Linked DNA regions of Neodiprion lecontei. The main gene of each other region encodes a partner of the protein of the gene in region 2 in a complex. Links are inferred from orthologs where the notes say so. Each region holds a gene or a part of one and is shown on either strand. Other genes may lie near its edges.

What was found. The genes of interacting proteins can lie anywhere in the genome.
Region 1: nuclear pore complex protein Nup98-Nup96 (region 2) and PCI domain-containing protein 2 share a complex: the UniProt entries of both Drosophila melanogaster proteins name them as parts of the nuclear pore complex. The link is inferred for Neodiprion lecontei from reciprocal best matches to the Drosophila melanogaster genes Nup98-96 and PCID2.

Annotation. Positions count from the first base shown.
Region 1 is NC_060264.1:4,179,491-4,184,350, reverse strand, and holds PCI domain-containing protein 2, read left to right. Parts: upstream 1-2,004; 5' UTR 2,005-2,439; coding exon 2,440-2,460; intron 2,461-2,542; coding exon 2,543-2,584; intron 2,585-2,667; coding exon 2,668-2,789; intron 2,790-2,857; coding exon 2,858-3,339; intron 3,340-3,586; coding exon 3,587-4,107; 3' UTR 4,108-4,254; downstream 4,255-4,860. Other genes in the region: uncharacterized protein LOC107227510, read right to left, coding at 1-591, 823-913, 1,359-1,468, 1,596-1,653; epidermal growth factor receptor substrate 15-like 1, read left to right, coding at 4,857-4,860. UniProt on the Drosophila melanogaster protein: Required for the export of nuclear mRNAs and involved in mRNA trafficking in the cytoplasm.
Region 2 is NC_060263.1:23,590,618-23,595,441, reverse strand, and holds the start of nuclear pore complex protein Nup98-Nup96, read right to left. Parts: upstream 3,089-4,824; 5' UTR 2,894-3,088; intron 2,848-2,893; exon of another isoform or gene 2,697-2,847; intron 2,441-2,696; exon of another isoform or gene 2,343-2,440; intron 2,260-2,342; 5' UTR 2,219-2,259; coding exon 2,188-2,218; intron 1,407-2,187; coding exon 1,182-1,406; intron 961-1,181; coding exon 712-960; intron 635-711; coding exon 422-634; intron 1-421. UniProt on the Drosophila melanogaster protein: Part of the nuclear pore complex (NPC). Required for MAD import as part of the Nup107-160 complex and required for nuclear export of Moe probably via its association with Rae1. Plays a role in nuclear mRNA export.

The DNA of each region.
Region 1 (4,860 bases), on a different chromosome or scaffold from region 2:
CTACGAGCTGTGAACAGTTGCAGCACTTAGTAGATTTCTGATTTTGCTTGGGAGAACTGGGCGTCGAAACTGAGTGAATTGAATCCTTTTTTGCATCTTCAATTTGATTAGCAGAAAAATTTATTAATGATGTAGTACTTGGTTTGATGGACAAGTTTTCATCATGTGTCTCAGAAATTAACGACGACTCTTCTGGAACATTCGAAGGTCTTCCACTTTGCACATTTTTCTGATCAACAAGGACATGGTTTACAGGTTTATAAATCGAAGATCTTACTGCCGTTGAATTTCGCTTATTAATAAAAGAACTCGTTATGGATCCCGGTGGTAATAGTCTGCTGCATCTCAAATTTCCGTTAGGATTAACTGTGCTCGGTTTTCGAGTGGGCTCTGCTTCACGTGCTGCGATGCTATCAGGTAACCTTGGCACAATTTTGTTACCAATCAGAAGTCGACTTTTTCTTTTTAAATGATTTAAATTTTCATTTCGTTTCGAAGAATCGTATAAACTATCGAGTCTCTTTCTGGCATTGTTTTTGGGTGATTCAAACAGCTTATGAATATTACGAATTGGTTGCGGCAATGGTCGACCTGCAGAAGTAAGGAAACTTGTTACCATTACCAGTCTTAGTCATTTGGTACGGTACAAGAATGTAAGGTAAGCTACAATTTTTATAAAAGGAAAAGGAAAAAAATGAGACCTCCAAGAATCCATGTATGCAAGTTGAAAAGAAATTTTAAAAACTGAACAAACTTCTCTGCATTGAATATTTATTTATCTGTACCAGCTAGATATGAAACGTTCTATCGAGCAATACTGACCAGGAGTTTTGCGACTTGATCCAGTATTTCTGCGGTCCGATGGATCATTGAAATAAGCCATAGATATTCTCACTGGTTGGCATTTTCTCTCCTGTGTATTAATAACAAAATATACAGTTGTAACTATTAACTCTCGACAGTCAATTCTGTTAATATTACATTTGTAGTGTACATGTATAAGAGTGTGTCTAGAGCATTCGCAAAGTGTAAGTGAGCCGCAAGTCAAAGGTCGATGGGACTCTGGAATGTATATAGCAGACAGTCCAAATATAGAATTCGAACTATAAACACCATCTATTCAATTATTTCTCGTCATTATCTACACCATAACATGAAATTGAAAACATACTTGAACGTGACAGAAAATAAGAACAAAAACAAACATGGAAAATCTATAACCTACGCATCTATTTGATAGTCAGCTTTGAAAGTAAAAAATTGTATATTATTAACTCTTACTCTGGATATTTCAGCAAAATTGACTTTATAAAAATGGATTCTGTTAACATTTAAAATTTCCTGAATTTTAAACCCACCGATCGAGGTTTGGCTATTTGAGCCATAGCAGCTTCAGATGTTTCCGGTCCAGTGTGACCTGGCACAAGGTCACGGATACTAAATATTGGATATTTTTTGCCGCTGGATTCTGAAAAAGGTTCCATAATTATTTCCGACGCTCAATGAGAGGAAACAAAACAGATTAACGTCGGTGAACTAGTTCGATTATTTTACGTTTAAAAAATATATTCTAGTATTGAATACGTTATACTCACTTGATGTGTAACATCGAGCATTGTTCGATAGATTCATTGTCATATTTTGTACTGACATTGTTCTTCTCGTTGATTAAACCATTCCTACTGATCTGCTCATTTATACAATATATATGTAATTTACACCAGCTGCAACCGTTCAGAATTCAAACCTCACCTAACCTAACCTAATCCGATGCCCGTAGAATGGGAAGGGAATATAACCATAGGCTGAGTTGTTACGGTGCCAAGTTCTTGGCCAATAGGAATGCCGGTGAAGCAGGGAACCAACGCCACCAAGTGCACGCTGCATGCGAATTACCTATTTTATTGGCATTCCTATTGGTTAGGAACTAAAATGCAAAGCTGCGCACGCCATTTGCGCACAACGCAATCAGATATTGTAGCGGCATGTGTAGATTTGAAAACCACGAACGGAAGGTTATGGAAGTTTTTCGATTTTCCACCCTAGTTTTTCACGTACGTTTTCACGATCCACTAACAATCTTGGATGTAATAGAATATGTTTTAAAAGAAATTTGGTATGAGACACGAATCGCCAACTATCTCTTCTTGAAATATCAACATCATAGATGGGATTCGGATCGATAATAATGTTACCGACAATACGTCTCACCGTCGGCATGTTTTAACAGGCTATACCGGTACTAAAGAACACGACTATGGATTGATATTCAGAACCATTCCATAACCTAAAAAATAAACTTGATAAACTGTGAATTGTAATCTGTCAACACGGTATAGACAGAACGTATTTATATCTGGAATTTCGCGAGAAAACAACTTTCAACAGATGTGATTGGCAGTTCTTTATTAACCTGGTTACCGAATATAAAAATCTATCATGGATTCATACATAATGCAGGTAAAAAAATTGTTCAACCGCCCATCCAATCACTGGTTAATATCAACTGAAAGATGTGAGGTTATAATTTCTCTATTTACAGCTTCGGCGCGCTTGGTTGAATCAGGACGGTGACGTTCTGGCTGTAAGTACATTTGTAATTTTCCCATAATCGTCACTATGCATTCGAAGATTTTCCTGATTCATACCTGATGTTATTTAATCCAGGATCTGCTGTCGCTTAGTCATAATCATGCGACAAATCCTCAACTTGGAAGCGATGCTGCAATGACAAAAGCAATGGAACACTTATCAGCACCCTTTGACGACCTGGTTTTACACCATATAAAGTAAGTAGAATATTTTTCAGAGATATTATTAAGCAAAAATAATTAAATTTTTGATAAACATTTTCCAGGGTCATATCGTCATTAAATAAAGACGATGCATTAACGTCGTATGCTCATCAGAGTGCAGCTATTCAGTCACTGGCAAAGATACTCCAGTTACAAAAAGACGAGAATTGGATGTTGCCAGTAATGAATTCCATGTGCTTAGATCTCAGGCGTCTAGCCCTTAAAGCTGAAGCATCCAAGTTTGGTAAAAATCAAAAGTCCGGTGAGGTGCTTGAAAAATGTGCTGAGTGCCTAATGAGCTGTTTTCGAGTTTGTGCAGCTGACAACAGGAACTCTGAAGATGACACGAAAAGATGGGGAATGCTCGCATTGGTTAACCAACTGTGGAAGGTCTATTTTCGCATAAACAAACTCGATTTATGCAAACCTCTAATCAGGATCATTGAATCGTCCGGTCTTAAGGATCAGTTCGCGCTCGCGCAAAAAATTACGTATAAATTTTTTATGGGACGCAAAGCCATTTTCGATAGTGATTACACAGCTGGTAAGCGTCAATAGTCAGTTGCAGGCCTTTCCACTGACAGTCACTTTTAAACTGGAAATGTAGCTTATTGTTCATTTTTTTTAAATTACTCAGCATTAAAAAATGTTTCACTTATGCTTTTCTAAATCAAAAAATGTTGAAAATGTATAATACAGATGATGTTAATTTTATCTAACTGGTAACGATGTTTTTAGAATGAAATTAAAGAGTGGATTTATTTAATGCCTGTTATTAAATTGTGTTACAGCGGACGAATATCTGACCTACGCTTTTGTCCGTTGCCACAAAGAATCAGCAAAGAACAAACGTTTAATTCTGACGTATTTAGTTCCCGTCAAAATGCTGCTGGGCTATATGCCAAAAAAATCATTGTTAGAAAAGTACAATCTATTGGAATTTTGGGAGTTGGTCGAAGCTGTTAAACGAGGAAACCTACGCAGCTTGGAGGAAGTGATGAACAAACATGAGATCTTCTTTATTAGTGCTGGGATTTACTTAATAGTTGAAAAGCTGAAGCTCATTACGTATAGAAATTTGTTCAAAAAGGTTTATCTCGTTTTAAATACCCATCAAATACCCGTAGCCAGTCTTTTGGCTGCTCTTGAAATGCACGGTGTTGACGATGTAGATATGGACGAAACGGAATGCCTTGTAGCCAATTTAATTTACGAGGGTAAAATCAGGGGTTACATTTCTCATCAGCACAAAAAATTGGTCATTTCAAAACAAAATCCGTTCCCGCAACTGTCATCGTTGAATTCAAATTGAATAAAAATACGATAATCAAATTCTGTGAATTTTGAAGTGGATTACGATACTATAATTAATATCGTTAAGGAAACCGCTGTTGTGTATACATACCTTTTATACGAAACCCGTAATTGTAGGTATGAATTAAATATTCTTGTTATACAAGTACGCATTTCTATTGTTTCTCTCTTGTCCAACGTCAGAAGATGCGTCAGACCATTTGCCAATGAAATAAAAGCTAATGGTATGATAATACGAATTTTAGAATACTATCAATATATATTCGTGAAGAGTACACGTTCGAAAATTCAAATTATGTAACTGACTTCGAGCTTAAGCATATTTTTTCGCAATCGTGAAGATAATTTAAAAGACAAGTCTCGAAAGGGGGAGGATTACTTTAACTGGTATAAAATAATCTGTCAAGTTTTTTATATTTTTTTGTTACTTAACAATTCAAATAGAGAAGATTAAAAATTTTCTTCGATGCATAAAGGCGTCATAAAAGTATATTTGAATCTGACACTAGACTCAAACGCGTGTGTACTGCATGGCAATGTAGGCAATACAGAAATTCTTTACGTAATAACGTAAGAAAATTGACGAAAGTATTTGTCTGTCGTTTGTATAATAGGGCATAATAAAGGGTCAGTTTTATCGTGATAATTGATCGTATAAATAAGAGTTATTAAATTTGTGAAAATCGTTAAAATGACGTACTATTGATTGAGGGCCTTATTGGTTCTTGGGCCTTCGGACCGCGGCCAATGA
Region 2 (4,824 bases):
CTAAATAAATCGTGAAATGTATTGAAAGATGTCAATATTCTAGTTTCCGAAAATCTTAGTATTATTACTATTTACTATTTTTTTTTGGGATTTATATTTCTCAAAGAGGAATGTTCATCTTTACTTCAACTCCAATTTTGATGGGAAGTACGAAGCCTGTGTAGCTAATCTTTTACAGAATCTTCAGTATTTTTTCTCAGTATATGCTCAGATACAGCTGGATTCTGTTGCTCAATCTCATATATGTGCGTGTGAAATTTGTTTTTTGGCTGTCTAGCCACAGAAGAATTGAAAAATAAAGTACAAGTCCGTATTTCGAAAAATTTTCGGCCATATATCACCTAAAGTTACTGAAGAGTTACTGAAAAGTTGTTGTCAACATTGCCGTTTGCCAAAGTTTATACGAGGATGAAAAGCTTACCTTGAACTTGTCCCTTACGACCTGCTGTGTAGTCTTCTAAACGCAATTCCTCCAGAGATTTTCCTTCGTATTCCTTCATGCAAGTAATGCAATAGTGTCGAGTTGATATGGTTTGGGTAACGCCATTTTTTATCATTGTATCAGTACCAGTAAGAGGGTTAAATTTCACCACTGTACCACTCATCCCACCTGCAGTATTATTTCCAGCAAATCCTGTACAATGAAATATGATTGACAAGATTTGATGAATACCTAAATGAAATACTTTCATCAGCATCGGGTTAATTTACCAGTTGTAGCTCCAAATAAGCTGGTATTTGCAGCTGTATTGGATGGTGCAAAAAGGGACGGTGCAGTTTGTTGAGTAGGTTGCTGTGTTTGTCCAAATAATCCTGTTCCAGCTGAACTCCCAAAGCCAAACCCTGCTGGTTTAGTTCCTTGACCAAAAGCAGGGGTAGGATTGCTTGTTCCAAATAGACTGGTGTTTGCATTTTGCTGATTACCAAAGAGACCGGTGTTCGTATTTGGGTTACTGAATCCTGAAATTATGCACGATTGGATAATTTTCATTTATAATACGTAATCATATAATATTAAGTAAATTTGAAACTTCTTGTCTATTTTTTTTATCATAGCAGAAATATATGACAGATATCATATTGTAAACAGTTTCGCTAGAACTACGTTTATAACAATACAGAGTTCTTAATCATATAAAGTAAACAGAATTGATAATAGACGATTCATTTTGAGAAATTACCTCCAAATGATGACTGACTGGTGGCTGGTTGTCCAAAAGCAGGTGTTGCTGCCGTATTGCCAAATAGTCCGCCTGTCGTCGCTCCCGCAGGCTTTGCGCCGAACAGAGAATTGTTGGTACTGCCGAACACTGGTGCTGCTGTACCACCAAAACTCGTTGTTGTGATGGGTTTTCCAAATGGAGATTGACTAAATGGGCTACTCTGGGTCCCTGCACCAAACCCTCCTATATTTATTAATTTTTAAGTACAAAGGTACCAGCTCACCATTAACAGACATCAAATTATAGCATAACGTTTTATGCAGGCATCAATGAACAGAATACCATGTTTAGAATAAAATTGAAGCATGAAATTTCGATTGTTAAAACAACTATTTCTTATCAATAAGTGACAATTAATACAGCACAGACGTTCTTTATGTTGGGACGTGCAGGGCTGGTAGTTGGCCACTACTTTCACAGACTGACTCTGGCGGCAAGGGATTCAGTGTAAGTTTGCTCTAATGAAAAAATGGTTACTACGGCTTTCGTGTGGTAATTATTTGAAAAAATTGAAATTTTATTTTTATTATCACCTAACTCAACTGTTCAGGTATAATTAAGTGATAGATATATTGTCCGAGCATTGGATCAAGCATGACATGAGTTCTTACATTGTGGTAAAGAAAATATGATTGTGTTGTTTGACTGCGGTTTCATTAGGACAATTTTCATGTAATAACGTTTCAAAGAACGTTTTGCTTTGAAATTACTGACGTAAATTAAACTCATGCAAATTACATTATTGTAGTTCCAGAGCGTATCACATAATTTCAACTAAATAAAGGGAGTTATTCAAGTAACCACTTTATATTTAAGGAGAGTAACAACAACTGATTAGATCAGACTCAGTTCAAGCGAGAACAGGATAATGGATGGGTTTAAAATAAAATTAATTTAGTATTTCGTTAAAGGCACCCAATGCATTAATAAGCAGATAAGGAACAAAAAATTTATTGGTACTTACCAAATGAAGTATTAGCAGATTGTCCAAACATTTTTAATGACCGTATTTAGCACAAGGACTATCCGCAGCTTTCTAAAATGTTCAAAATTATGGCATCAATCATCAAATAAAGAAATGTATAAGTGTAAAAGGTAAATATAATTCCGAATACTTGCAACTAATATAAATGACCGTGATCATCTGATTGTTACCGCAGTAGTGACACTCATTGATATTTGTGATAAATAAAGATGCCTGGTAATTCTTCAAAATACTTGTAAGAGAAGAGATTATTTATTTCCTGATCTATTAATTCATTACGATACATACGTATTAGAAATGTTGATAAAATATGATGGTTATAAATTATTGCCAACACGTGAAATATCATCAATCAGCACTCGTGAGCCAACGATATATATACCTATATATGTATATAGAGAAAAAATATCAACGAAAAAGAATTTTGCAGTGATTGTATGCCTGTGAGTGATTCGCAAGTAGATAGCTGCATCACACTTATTACATACCTCCGACCCCGCCAACATTTACGAACAATCCTTGTTTACAAAACACATGGAAGCCGTACGTGTTCGTCATTTAATGGAAAAGACGGATAACATATTGAAAATGATGAATCTTATTCAATAGCATACAAACAATTCAGGTTATGTTAGATGCAGAAATGGCGCAATTAGAGATGTGACGAATATTTTCATTTACTTACTGCTCTGACGTATCGCACCTTGCTAATTACTCGCAATAATTACCAAAACTTAACTACTCACTAATAGAACACGGTTTGCAATAAGCACACCGCCACAATACAGAAAATCGCATTAATCACCGATTTTCCAATACTGCAGGCATGTGTTGTTACGGGATCTGCGGTGGCCTGCGTTGCGGGTGTCTGTCTATTAAGGCGGAGTCTCATTGTAACGATATGTTTACGAGACGGCGATACGGAGTCCTATCATTGGCTCCATGCGACGTCATTTTGTGAGTTATATTTATAATTTCCCCACTTCGTTACGTGAGACATCGGCAGAGGTATAAGCAACAGTGCAGTTTCTTTATCTCTCAATTGGCGAAGTAGACAATTTGCAATCGTTCCCCAGCAAAGGCTAAATTGCTCTCGCTTGCTCTAGAGTGGTAGGCTCTTCAGGGTAGAGTTAAAAGACATTCCCGCTCTATATTTGTCATTCATGTAGGTTGGGGCAGAGGGGTTGTTTACGTTCCGAAAGCATTGTTTTTCTTATGACCGCTGTGGATTTTTTTGTCTTGGATTTATTGTACAGCAACAATCCAAATTCAGCACCATCGGTTGCCATTAAAATCAGTCTAATTTAGCACCGAAAATTTTAAACAAGCAATAACTTGAGATGTTTTTCAGCGTATGCACATACATTTACAGGTATAATATTTGGGAGTGGAATGTGTAAAGAGTACATGTTCAATTAAAAGCCAATAGAATGTTATTTTAAACATTTTTTATTCAAAATATGATTACAATTGAAATAAGCACTTCAAAATGAGATATTTGAAATGGTCTCCTTACTTCAACCTTCGCTGTAAAATTATCAATTTTTTTCCCTTACATTACTGCAAACGTTAAACTATGTCTACCATACTCAAAGATATAACTAACTAAATTGTAACGTTATTAAATGAAGAACATTCTCACAGGGATGAATAAAGAGCGATGTAATAATGTATACATATTGTCAATGTGCTCTAAAGGCTTGTTAGATATATCCTTTGACGATCCAATTTTTTTTTTTAATCTTTGTCAAAAACTAGGTGGCAATAAGTGCATCCTCATATTTCGTTATTGTTGTGCTTATTTTAAAGATACACATGTTAGTGTCAATACCCATTCGAGTAATGTCATAACACTTCAACGAAAACTCTGACAGATAAATAGTAAATCGTGAAGTTTGCGGGACAACAATCAGATTTGGGATATTTTATTTCGTTTGGTCAAAGTACCGTTGCCTGATATGTAATTATTCAGGCTATACAGTTCATTAAGAACAATTGAAGAAACCGTTATACCATGTTACTATCGACTCTTTCTTCCTTGTATTTCTTTACAAACTAAAGTATCTTGTCAATAAGGAATATTCAATGAGGAGATACAGTAAGCATGGCATCTTTACCAAAAAAACGCATTCAATTCTGCTAATAATGAAGTAAAATGTAATTAATTAGGAAACATGATCATGAGATATGTACTGCATTGTTTGAAGTTAGTAATCTAACTTCTAGCTGCTTGACAAAAATAATGCAAATCAAAAATGTAACTTTCAAAAAATGACCATGAATTTATGTTTGCATTAAACTTGTGAACTTGGAGTCTTCGCGTCATGAAATAACACACTTATGACACAAAAGCGTAAGAGAACATGATTAACAGCCCAGAATGATAAAAAAATTCGATATCAATACCATACATATCTAGAGAACGTTTGTTGTTACAAAAAACCTAATTAATTTCTGCAAATTTTTTATACTTGGTTGCTATTATTATTTAGATAGAAGTGTATTTATAAGTCGATTCAATAATACATCAGATAACTGAACCTGTGAAATATTTCATGTATTGAGGTGTGAATGGCAAAACGCGAAGAATAAATACTAACAGTGCTTTTAGAATAA